Macaca fascicularis: one gene and its partners. The protein of the gene in region 1 binds, or shares a complex with, the protein of each later gene. Links are inferred from orthologs where the notes say so. Each region holds a gene or a part of one and is shown in the gene's direction. Other genes may lie near its edges.

Region 1 (3,328 bases):
CAGAAGGACAAGCTCTTCATAATGCACTGCGTGGAGGTCCTGCATCAGTATGACCAGGTGATGCCGGGGGTCAGCATGCTCATCCGCGGGCTTCCTGACGTGACCGACTGTGAAGGTGAGCCTGCCAGAGGCCCTCCCGCCCAGCCCCCACGGCTTCTCCCTGAGGTTCCCCAACAACTCATATTCCTGGGCATCCCCTCAGCAGGCCCCTGCCCATTACAGCCTGTTCCGGCACTGGGGTCATTTTCTTTTATCTTCTGCCCCAGTTCTTCTCCAAGCATATTGGGCTGCCTTTTGCTCCTATCTGTTGAATGTGCCTGGCAGAGCCACAGTTTTTCCAGAAATACCTGTGTCTGAATTGCTTTTGTATCACTTTGTTTGCAGTAGCTGAGGGAGCAAGGCCTGGGTCTGGAAGGGACTGGTTAGTTCCTGCGGGCGTTGGGGGAGGAGAGGTGGGACCCGCCCTAGGCCCTGGCACCTTTGGGCCCTCACCAAGAACCTCTCCTTTTTGTCTCAGAGGCAGCCCTGGATGACCTCTGTGCCGCGGAAACCGATGTGGACGACCCCGAGTTGGAGTGTGGCTGAGGCCCTGAGTGTCCAGCCACATGGTGGCACCAGCACCATTCCTTTCCTTACCACATCAACTGATTAAAGCAGTGACCAGCAGGAACTGCCCAGAGAACCGGCTGGCCTTGTTTCCTGAGTCTAATCTCTTTGGCGGAGTGGGAGGGGTGGAGCGGGACCGGGACGGGACCTTGAGTGGCTGGGATCCTTCTTCCTGTCCCTGGCTGCTGCTGAGCCCCAGTCCCCATGGTAACCGATCTGCCTTGAGGAAGGAGCCCTGCCTTGCCTGTGGAATTGTCCTGAGTCATTGCTTTGGGCTGGGGCCATGGGAAGAAACCATTGTGTGGCAGGGAAGGAGGTGGCTCTTGGCCCAGGCCTAAACCAGGAAAGCCTGGAAAAGTGGGACCCACAGGTGGGCACGAAAGGGCTGCAGCAGGAGCTCCCAGCAGTGTGTAACACCGGGAGCTGGTCTGGCGCCACTGCCCTGGTCCTTCCAGCTGCCTGTCATTGGTGTGATGGCCCGGTGCATTGTGCCACCATCAGGCCACAGCCGTGGATCTCAGAAGGCCTCTGGGGTCCCCTGGGGGCGGGGAAGTGGGGGTGGGGGGACGGATGTTGGCGAGAGGGACAGACCAGGCAGGCTGACGAGCAGGGCGGGCCTGGCTCACGTGGGGCTGTAGGCGGGCCCATACCAAGTTTCACTTCCCGCCACTGCTGCCAGCGAGAGCCGCGGGAGAGTGTGCAGCAAAGTCACTACTGCCTGCCTGCCTGCCTGCTACGGTAAGTGTGGCTCCCCAAGGGGATGGCGCAGGGCAGGAGGGCCATGGGTTCCCCGACCCCAGACTAAGGGGGCACTAGGGGAGGGGCCAAGTCATGTGAAGAGGGAGCCCTCTCAGACAGTCGAATGTGCTGGTCCCACTAAGGAAACCACCCCACCCTCTCCAACTTCCTGCCTGAAAATGGGCCCTGGAGCTCACAGACAGGGCAGGATTGTGCAGGGAAGGCCTGAGATGTGCTTCTGCCCACCCCCTACCCCACTCCCTCCCCTTCGGATCTTAACACTGGGCACTCACACACCCACCCTATGCTCCTCCCCAGGCTCAGCGGCAGGTCCTACCCAACCATGGGCTCGCAGGCCCTGCCCCCGGGGCCCATGCAGACCCTCATCTTTTTCGACATGGAGGCCACTGGCTTGCCCTTCTCCCAGCCCAAGGTCACGGAGCTGTGCCTGCTGGCTGTCCACAGATGTGCCCTGGAGAGCCCCCCCACCTCTCAGGGACCACCTCCCACAGTTCCTCCACCACCGCGTGTGGTGGACAAGCTCTCCCTGTGCGTGGCTCCGGGAAAAGCCTGCAGCTCTGCAGCCAGCGAGATCACAGGTCTGAGCACAGCTGTGCTGGCAGCGCATGGGCGTCAATGTTTCGATGACAACCTGGCCAACCTGCTCCTAGCCTTCCTGCGGCGCCAGCCACAGCCCTGGTGCCTGGTGGCACACAATGGTGACCGCTATGACTTCCCCCTGCTCCAAGCAGAGCTGGCTATGCTGGGCCTCACCAGTGCTCTGGATGGTGCCTTCTGTGTGGATAGCATCACTGCGCTGAAGGCCGTGGAGCGAGCAGACAGCCCCTCAGAACACGGCCCAAGGAAGAGCTACAGCCTAGGCAGCATCTACACACGCCTGTATGGGCAGTCCCCTCCGGACTCGCACACGGCTGAGGGTGATGTCCTGGCCCTGCTCAGCATCTGTCAGTGGAGACCACAGGCCCTGCTGCGGTGGGTAGATGCTCACGCCAGGCCCTTCAGCACCATCAGGCCCATGTATGGGGTCACAGCCTCTGCTGGGACCAAGCCAAGACCATCTGCTGTCACAGCCCCTGCACACCTGGCCACAACCAGGAACACTAGTCCCAGCCTTGGAGAGAGAAGGAGACCCAAGGATCTTCCTCCAATGAAGGACCCTGGAGCCCTACCCAGGGAGGGGCTGCTGGCACCACTGGGTCTACTGGCCGTCCTGACCTTGGCAGTGGCCACACTGTATGGACTATCCCTGGCTGCACCTGGGGAGTAGGCCAAGAAGGAAAATCTGAAGAATAAAGACCCCCCCCTCCTCCAGCACTGAGTGGTCACTTGGCTCCTACCCTTCTTGGCAGTCCAGACCTCTGCCCACACTCAGGGACCTGGGGAGGAGGGCATAGTGTTTGTCCCTCACTTTCCCTAGCAGGATGATCAACTATCTGAGCTCAATAAAAGTAGGGAAAACACGAGAAGCCCGAATGGTTGATGGAAACAGTACAGCCTGATCCCAATCCCAGCAGCCAGGAAGAAAGGGGGCAGCAGCTCCAAACGATTGCATTTATTATAAACAAGAGTATAGACCCCAGACTCAGAAACACAACAGATTCGAAGCTAAGACAGCTCTGGTGAAACAGTAATGGAGGAGGAACACCGAGGTATTCATGTCTGGGCCAGAGCTGCCATCCAGGGCCCCACACCCCACCTTTGGTCCAGATGGCCCCTTGGCCCAGGTGTCCCTGCTGCCAGAACACCCTGGACTGGGGTACCAGAGTTGCATATTCCATGAGGCTGGTGTCAGGGAAAGCAGGGACTCACAGTTGCCAGGTTGTCCGTCTCCTCTGAGCCAATTTCCCTCCACTATCCTGGGGTTTCAGTCTCATATCAACTATCATGTTTAAAACAGAAAACAGGCAAAATGTTTGGCTAAAATAAAATGAAAACACTGCAGGGAAGAGACCTGAGTGTGCTG
Region 2 (4,166 bases), on another chromosome or scaffold:
ATTTTACTTATTTTATTTTATTTATTTTTTAGAGACCGAGTCTCGCTCTGTCACCCAGGCTGGAGTGCCCTGGCGCAATCTCGACTCACTGCAACCTCTGCCTCCCGGGTTCAAGCGATTCTCCTGCCTCAGCCTCCCGAGTAGCTGGGACTACAGGCGCCTGCAACCACGCCCTGCTAATTTTTGTGTTTTTAGTAGAGACGAGGTTTCACCATGTTGCCCAGGCTGGTCTCGAATTCCTGAGCTCAAGTGATCCTCCCGCCGCCGCTTCCCAATGTGCTGGGATTACGGGCGTGAGCCACCGTGCTAGGCCAAAAAAGTTTTAAATTTCAGTACGTTCCAATTTATCAACTTTTTCCTTTTATAGATTGGTCTTTTGGTGTCGTCTAAAAACTATTTGCCTGGCCCTAGGTCCTGAGAATTTTTTTTAACTCTTTTTTTTTCCCCATCAGTGATTTATTGTTTTATGTTTAAATCTATGGTTCATTTTGAGTGAATTTTGTATAAGGTGTGAGGTTTAGGTTGAGGTTCTTTGGGTCTATATTTGTCCAATTTACCCAGCATCATTTGTTGAAAAGGCTCCTGATTCCATTTTTGTACCTCTCCCCTGAGAGCAGTGGGAATGTTTTTTTGAAAAAGTATGTCAGTGATGATGTGATGCCTTGTGCAAAATCCGTATTGGCATCTCACAGCGTAAGATTTGGCTCTATTCTAACGGCATTTTCTACCACTCGATATCCACTGTAATACTTGGCTCTCAGGGAATCACTGGGCTGGCTCGCTCACTTCATGCAGGTCCATTCTATTATCACTTCCTCAGAGATTTCTCTGGCCTTTTCTTCACAGCACTTACATAATGAGATCTATTACATATTAATTTGCTTATCTGTTTCTTGTTTTCCTATACTCCTGTCCCTCCCAGAAGCTCCAAGAAAGCATACTGTTGTATCCCTAGGGCCTAGAATAATGCGTCCACATAGTAGGTATTCAATAAAATCTTTTGCTTGACAGGTTAGAAAAGGTGAATAAACACAAAGCGGGAGCGAAAAGTTTACTTCTAGGTCAGGCGCTTTTTGGACGTCATGCAAAGTGTGAGCGCCACCTCTCGGGAAGCCAATTTGCTCGCGAACAAAGGAAGTGAGTCAGAGAACCCGGGGGTGGAGGGAAGAAAGCAAGCAGCTAACCGGAAAGGTCTGAAAAAGCTGGCGCCGGAAGTTAAACAGCAGAAAGTTGTTCCCTAGAATGACTGCCTACTCCCAAGAGGAAGCGTGGGCGAGCGGTGTTCTGCAAAATGGGCTCTCCGGCAGCGGATCTGCGCGGAAGCGTTCCGTGCGTGCGAGTGCTGCGAACCACGTGGGTCCCCGGCGCGTTTCGGGTTCCGGCGGCTGCAGCCGGAGTTCAAGACTAACCAGCTGGAAGGGTAAGAGGTGTTCGGGATCCTGAGAGGGAAAGGAAAGGAGTGTAGTCGCCGGAGAGAGTTAGGTGAGGAGTTAGTGAAGAGGTCAGTTCAGCTCTAAGAGGCGGCGAGGAGGATCGGATGGGAGGAGGGGCAGGGAGCGCCTGTGGACAAGTGCAGACCGGTCGGCGCACATCCCATGCCACATGGACTCTCCTTTGTCGGTGGCCGCCTTTCTCGTCAGGCCGCGACGACAGGGCTGTGCCTTATTTGCCTCTGTCGAGAGCAGTGCCGGGAACGGAGTTGGCGTTCTATAAGGCCTTGCTGAATAAATGACGGGCGTGTGTGTCATTCATTCAGCAAGGACTGAGTGCTTACTGTTGTGTCACCGGGATCGATGTGGAGGGACATTTTTAGGATCTATTTCTGGCACTTTAGTCCTGTTTTCTCCTGGACAATATTCTTGCCCCGCACCCCATCGGGCGATTCTCCGCAGTCTTTGGGCTTTGTCTCTTTTTTTTTTGGAAGTTGCAGAGTGATGATAAATGATTTTCTTTGCTCTTATTGACTGCTAGGCCCTGTGGCTAGGTACCATAGACCTACACAGGAGTAAATCAGCCTGGTATGCAGGCCAGAGACCGGTGGGGAGGCAGACACACAAACAGAAAGTTGGGCTACGGTGCTAAGATGCTGTAAGAAGAGGTTAACTAAAGGACAGGAAGGTGGGGCCAATAGGTGGAGCTGCTGTGTACATCAGAGATTGTCTTTCAAGGCGAGGGGCTTCCCATCTCAAGATGTGATACAGGGTACATCATGAGCCAGTATTCTGTAAAATGAGGGATCTGGACAGAATAGGTACTCTCTAGGCTTCCTTTCAGTATGATGTCCCGTATCAGGTATTCCTAATGTCTGTAGCTCTCCCACACCCCACCGTTTATTGGCTAGTCAAAATATTCTTTGCATTGTAAAGTGTAGCATACATTACAAGAATGGATTAATGGGTTGGGAATGCTGGGTTTTGGCCTTCATTCTGGTGCTCTGGTCCTGTTTCCTCATTTGTAAAACGAAGGGGGTTGTAAAGATATATTCTCTAAAACCCCTAATGCTATGGATGTGACATTAAGTCAAACTATTATTTCTTACTGCTTTGTGCCAGACATCACTTTCACATTAGTAAAACTTTGTATCAGTGTAGTTTCTCCCAAGCTTGATTACTGAGAAAGATAGTTTTTACCTCCTGTATCCTAGTTCCACCACAGTGTTTGGTACACAGTAGATGCTTAAAAGAAGCTTATTACATCAAATGGTGGCCAGGCACGGGGCTCATGCCTGTAGTCCCAGCACTTTGGGGGGCTGAGGCCGGTGGATTACTTGAGGTCAGGAGTTGGAGACCAGCCTGGCCAACATAGTGAAACCCCATCTCTACTAAAAAAAAAAAAATACAAAAATTAGCTGGGCGTGGTGGCACGCGCCTGTAGTCCCAGCTATTCAGGAGGTTGAGGTAGGAGAATAGCTTGCCTGGGAAGTGGAGGTTGCAGTGAGCCGAGGTCGCGCCACTGCATTCCATCCTGGGCGACAGAGCAAGACCCCATACCAAAAAAAAAAAAAAGGGGCTGGGCGCGGTGGCTTATGGCCATAATCCCAGCACTTTGGTAGGCTGAGGTGGGTGGATCAGTTGAGGACAGGAGTTTGAGACCAGCCTGGGCAACATGGCGAAACCCCATCTCTAAAAAAACCACAAAAACCAAAACAAAAATAAAATAAATCAAATGGGATAGAAATTATAGTCCTTGCTTTTGGATCCTTTCCCACATTGACATATTTGTTCATAGATGAGGGGACTGGGGAGGAACTGGGTTTTTAGCAGAGGGAGACCTGCAGCTGACCTGACAGATTTGAACCAGCTTTATGGGATAATCCGCTTGAGGAGGATGACGATGTAGGCAAGTGATTCAGCGCCGTTTCATTCCTCTACCTGCCTATCCCCAGGACCATGGCCAACTGTGAGCGGACCTTCATTGCCATCAAACCAGATGGGGTCCAGCGGGGTCTTGTCGGAGAGATTATCAAGCGTTTTGAGCAGAAAGGATTCCGCCTTGTTGGTCTGAAATTCATGCAAGTAAGTGGACTTCATTGTTCCCATTTTGATTTCTTCATAGTATGGGAGAACACTGTGATTAACCTGTTTCTCCCCGGCTTTCTTATTTAAACTTCTTCATGGTAGAGGGACAGAGTGGACACAAGTATCTAGAGACCTGGAAACACCTCAGTGCCCTAGCGTTTGGCTACGTTTAGGATTTTCCAAAATAGTCTCTGTAATATGAGGTGCATTGCTATGGGAAAAGCAGTGCAGAGTTCCACATATGACTGCATCTCTGTAATTTGTGACTCAGCTGAGCATGTTTGAGTTCTTGGTCTTGAGCTTCCTGAGCAGATAATTTTAGAGAGATTTTTTTCCCCCTTTGAGACAGGTTGTGTTTTTAGCAAGAAAATCTTCCATCAGCAATTACTAGACACCCATCAATGCTTATTGTCTAGCATTTATTAGGTACCATAGGAGCTTGTGGAGGAAAACTATGGTTTTGGTTTTGGGAAGGTTCTCCTGAAATAGCAGAGAGCAGATGTACCTGCAAGCTACTTACAAAGCAATCTTCTGATAAATGCAAGGGATTGATTGACCAGTAACCCCTCTTTAAACACATTCTAGAGATAAAAATTCAAATTCTTGGCTGGGCGAGGCACAGTGGCTCATGCCTGTAATCCCAGCACT
Region 3 (4,136 bases), on another chromosome or scaffold:
GAAAAATAAACACAATGTATCCGGAAAAACTATCTTGAGGTGTGTGGGGAAGAGTGCAGACATGTAGAAACAGACACTAAAATACAGTTGTGTGGAAAGGTAAGGATGTATCTGTCCTTGTTGACAACAATCCCCGTGGTTTATTAACAGCCACAGGCAGCCAACTTAGTGCCATAAGTCGGTAACCCAGTGGGCATCAGGGCTTTAGGGTCTCTTAAAACTTAATGTGATTCAAAAATACCCAAGGCAAGCACGCCGAAAAACCTGGAGAAAGTGCTCCAGTTAGAGCCTCCTTGGCAACCCAAACCGAACCAAATGACTCAGGTGGACGATTAGAATAAACCGTGCGCCGTTCTCTTTCACTAGGTCTATAAAGCCCATAAATTATGTTTCGTCCAGAAAACCAGGAGTTATGAGCACCTTCCTTTTCCACCTTTTAATATTCTGTATATCCAGCAACAGTTCTTAATCCATGGTCTTCATTCCTTTATTGCCTAAACAAGATCTTGGGTGTCTCCTGGTGATCACTTCTTCCAAGCTGACCTTATGTGACAGCAAACTGAAAAGCCTCTTCGTGGGAAGGGTCGCGACCGCGCGGTAAGTCATCCAAAAGTGGAAGCATCTTGCTTTTACTGACTTATGTATACGCGGGTGGCGACGGCGGCGGCCTGACCGGGACGAGGCCGGAGGGGAAGAGGGGCGCGGGCTGGGCGGCCGCGGCGGGGGTGACGGGGGCAGCCACGTTCCCCAGCGCTAGCCGCCGGACCCGGGACACGACGAGCCCCTCCCCGCATTGCACCCTGACCCCTCCCCTCCTTCCAGGCCTTTCATCTGCCCTCCCGCTGGGCAGCCCGCGGCCCCCAGACCTCAAGCCTCCCGCCTCCTTCCGCAACCCCGTCGCGCCGCCTCGCGAAGCCCTCAGCCGGGCGGGGACCCCGACCCGACCCCTCCGGCCGCGCCCCTCCCCCTCGTAGAACGCACCTGCGGCCCCGCCCCCGGCCGAACGCTGAGGCGGCGGCGGGCTGGCGAGGCCGGGCGGCTCGGCCCTCGAGGCACAGTCACCTTCCCTTCCCCCGCCATTCCGCCCACCCCCCTCACTCAGCCACAGAGCAGCCGCTGCGCTCCTCAGCCGCCCCGAAATCTAAAGGGGTCCGTCTCCGGCACCACAACCAAATGGCCGAGCCTCCCTGGCCGGCTGCGCAGCCCGCCCATTGGTCCCTTCCCCCCCCGCCGCCGCTGCCATTGGCTGTTGCCCGGAGACCCTCGGCGGCGATTGGCTCGGGCCGCTGCCGCTCGTCCGCGGGGCCGCAGATCCCGCCTCCACGGCGATCAGGTTAGTGTGCGCCGCGGGTGCTGGGGGCTCGAGAACCGAGCGGAGCTGGTTGAGCCTTCAAAGTCCTAAAACGCGCGGCCGTGGGTTCGGGGTTTATTGATTGAATTCCGCCGGCGCGGGAGCCTCTGCAGAGAGAGAGCGCGAGAGATGGAGATGGGCAGACGGATTCATTTAGAGCTGCGGAACAGGACGCCCTCTGATGTGAGCATTTGCCAAAAATATCTCTGTCGGTCCATTCTCCTACTTTGTGTGTGTGTGTGCGCGCTGGGGGGAGGCACTTTTTTTGGGGGGGGCGCCCGGGAGGTGCGGGTTTGGGGGTCGGACTGCAAGCGAATTGGCAAGGCTGGGGGGTTGCAATGCCATCCGAGCATGTTCCGGCTGCCGCCGCCGCTGCCCTTGGTGTGTGACTACCTGTGCGTGTGCTCCCGCGTGTGCGAGTGTGGGTGCGAGAGTGTGCGTGCGAGTGTGCACCCATCGGGGGCCGGCGGGCGCACGCGTTTGGGTCGGAGAGAATGAGGCGAAATCACCCTCGCAGATCGCTGCTCCCGTGACTCCGTCTGGGGGGAAGATTAACGAGGGAGGAGGAGGAGAGGGGCTGCCTCCTGAATTTAACAACAAAAAAAGGGGGTTTTACATTTTATAAATGTATCCCCCCTTCCGCCCCCCTCCCGCGCCTCCCCCCTCCCTTTCTCTCGCTCGCTCGCTCGCACACACAATAAGTTTGGGGCTTCGCGAGTCCGGTTTAGTTTCTGATAAATGTGGGCCGAGGGCCCCGGGGAGAGCGCGTGGGGAGGGGGCTGCAGCGGAGTTGGGAATGGCTGGAGTTTAAAGTGCGTCTTCATTTCTTTGCAGTGATGAGGCGAGAGACGGGGGAGCCATATTTGTAACTTTGTAGTGTTCGTGAACGCGCCCTTTCTCTCCCTCCCTCCCTTTCTCTGCCTCCCTTCCTCTCCTCCTCTTTCTCCCTCACTCTTTCCACCCCACCTTCGGGCCAGATGCTGATGTTTCTTCCTTTCCTTCCGAAGGGAGGATAAATTAGAAGGAGGGGGAGGGATTTTCGAACGTGCAAAGGCACAGATAATCCCCGCGCCTCCCTGCCTCCAGTGATCGCTGGTGCAAGTTGCCCAAAGGCTACGTCCCGGTCCCCCCTCGCCCCAGCTCCTTCCGGCCTCCCCAAGATGCCAGCCTTTGGGCCCTGGTGTCCCCCAGCTCGAACCCCCGGCCCGTCTTTCTCAGGGCTGGGCTCGTCGGCAGCCATTCGGCGCCTGCTTAATAAATGGGCACGGGAAACTTTGTCAGGACGCGAGCTGCCCGGAGCTGGCGCCGGTGGTGGGTACTGGCTGGGTCCACGTTTATGCGGGCATGGCAAACACGCAGCTCTAGGATGGGAGTTTGCCCGCTAGCCGCCGTTATTGATTGGGCAGCGGCGGGAGCACAGCCGGAGGAAACTTACACGGGTGGGAATCGCCAGGCTCGAGCGAAAGCCCACCCCCGAGGAGGGGGAAGGTGAGGGTGGGTGACTCGAACGCTGGTTTTTATTTCTGCCTCCCTCTCGCTTTCAAACCTGAGTGTTTTCGGCGAGTTGGCGGCTCTGGGGCGGAGACCCCGGCCAACTCCCCTCTTGGCCCCTCGAGGGGACCGGGGACGCGCTGGCGGGAGGACGCCCCCAGTCTCGGTGGCCCGAGCTCCACGGAGTTGGGAGTTTGGGCAGCACCGTGCGCTGGCCTGTCGCTCCTCCAGCCCGTTAAACCCGAATCCCCGCGAAGGCAGGCCTCGCTTCCTCTTTTCCCTAGTTCCTCCCCCCAAACCTGAGTGAGACTTTTGAAAACAAGATCCTTTTTGTCTACCCCCTCCCCGCCTTAACGCAGCTGTGGACTGGAGACGTGCGAGTGCCTTATGGCGCGCAGGGCGGGGAGGGGGCGGTCGCGGGAGAGTAGGGGGCGCCGCCGGAGGAGGCCGGAGTTTCCCCGCACTATTTGCCATTGGTTTGCTTCTCTCCGGCCGCTTTCGTCCTGGCCGGGACCCGGCGCCTTGCGTTTGGGGGCTGGGTGTGGTGATGGGGGAGGGGGTCGGGGCCGCGGTCTTCCCGCGTACTTTCCGGAAGCCCCCTGCGCGGAGGGGGAAGGGCGCCGAGCGCGGGGTCGGGGTCGCCGCGGGTGGGTGTGGGGGCGCGGCTGGCCTGGCGAACCCGACTGACGCTGCCGGCCCCCCGGGAGAGAGCCGGAAAGCGGGTCGAACCGGCTCTTTAAACTTCCCCGAGTGTGTGTGTGTGTTGGGGAGGGGAGCGCACCGCGCCGTTCTGGGAGCGATTTCTCACGCTTCGCCCCCTCGCCTCCCAGCCTCGCGGCCCACACGCCTGCCCCCTGCCTGGAGGCGGGGTGGGGCGCGGGTGGCGGAGGAGGGGGCACTTTCTGCACATTTGCGGGGGTGGGGGAGAAAGCTAGCGAAAGAGGGACAAAAGGGGTGGGGGAGGAGGAACTGTATTTTTTTAAACGTTCTTAAGACAAATGGCTCCCAGAGCGTGCCCCCTGCGCCCCTCCCCGCCGCGCTGCTCCCAGGCCCCCCACACACCCACCTTCGGCACCTCTCCCAACTGGGCTCCGGGAGCTGGTGGCCATGCCGCGACGCCGAAATAGGACGAGCAGCCATGTTTCCCGGGGCTCGCGCCGCACGCCCCGCCCCTCCTCCCCGGCGCGGGGCGCGGGGCTCGGAATGCGGGCTCCGGGCTCCATGCGGCGCGGGGCGCGGGCAGGCGGGCGGTGGGGGTGCAGTACGCGCGGGGCCGGCCTTGTGGCTTCCCGGG

What was found.
Region 2: TREX1 (region 1) and nucleoside diphosphate kinase A share a complex: the UniProt entries of both Homo sapiens proteins name them as parts of the SET complex. The link is inferred for Macaca fascicularis from reciprocal best matches to the Homo sapiens genes TREX1 and NME1.
Region 3: TREX1 (region 1) and ANP32A share a complex: the UniProt entries of both Homo sapiens proteins name them as parts of the SET complex. The link is inferred for Macaca fascicularis from reciprocal best matches to the Homo sapiens genes TREX1 and ANP32A.

What each region holds. Positions count from the first base shown.
Region 1 is NC_088376.1:111,432,523-111,435,850, forward strand, and holds TREX1 (three-prime repair exonuclease 1), read left to right. Parts: upstream 1-1,277; 5' UTR 1,278-1,344; intron 1,345-1,662; 5' UTR 1,663-1,687; coding exon 1,688-2,632; 3' UTR 2,633-2,828; downstream 2,829-3,328. Other genes in the region: ATRIP (ATR-interacting protein), read left to right, coding at 1-115, 518-585. UniProt on the Homo sapiens protein: Major cellular 3'-to-5' DNA exonuclease which digests single-stranded DNA (ssDNA) and double-stranded DNA (dsDNA) with mismatched 3' termini. Prevents cell-intrinsic initiation of autoimmunity.
Region 2 is NC_088390.1:55,553,380-55,557,545, reverse strand, and holds the start of nucleoside diphosphate kinase A, read left to right. Parts: upstream 1-1,366; 5' UTR 1,367-1,420; exon of another isoform or gene 1,421-1,482; intron 1,483-3,385; 5' UTR 3,386-3,389; coding exon 3,390-3,515; intron 3,516-4,166. UniProt on the Homo sapiens protein: Major role in the synthesis of nucleoside triphosphates other than ATP. The ATP gamma phosphate is transferred to the NDP beta phosphate via a ping-pong mechanism, using a phosphorylated active-site intermediate.
Region 3 is NC_088381.1:45,585,764-45,589,899, reverse strand, and holds the start of ANP32A (acidic leucine-rich nuclear phosphoprotein 32 family member A), read left to right. Parts: upstream 1-1,336; 5' UTR 1,337-1,480; coding exon 1,481-1,534; intron 1,535-4,136. UniProt on the Homo sapiens protein: Multifunctional protein that is involved in the regulation of many processes including tumor suppression, apoptosis, cell cycle progression or transcription. Promotes apoptosis by favouring the activation of caspase-9/CASP9 and allowing apoptosome formation.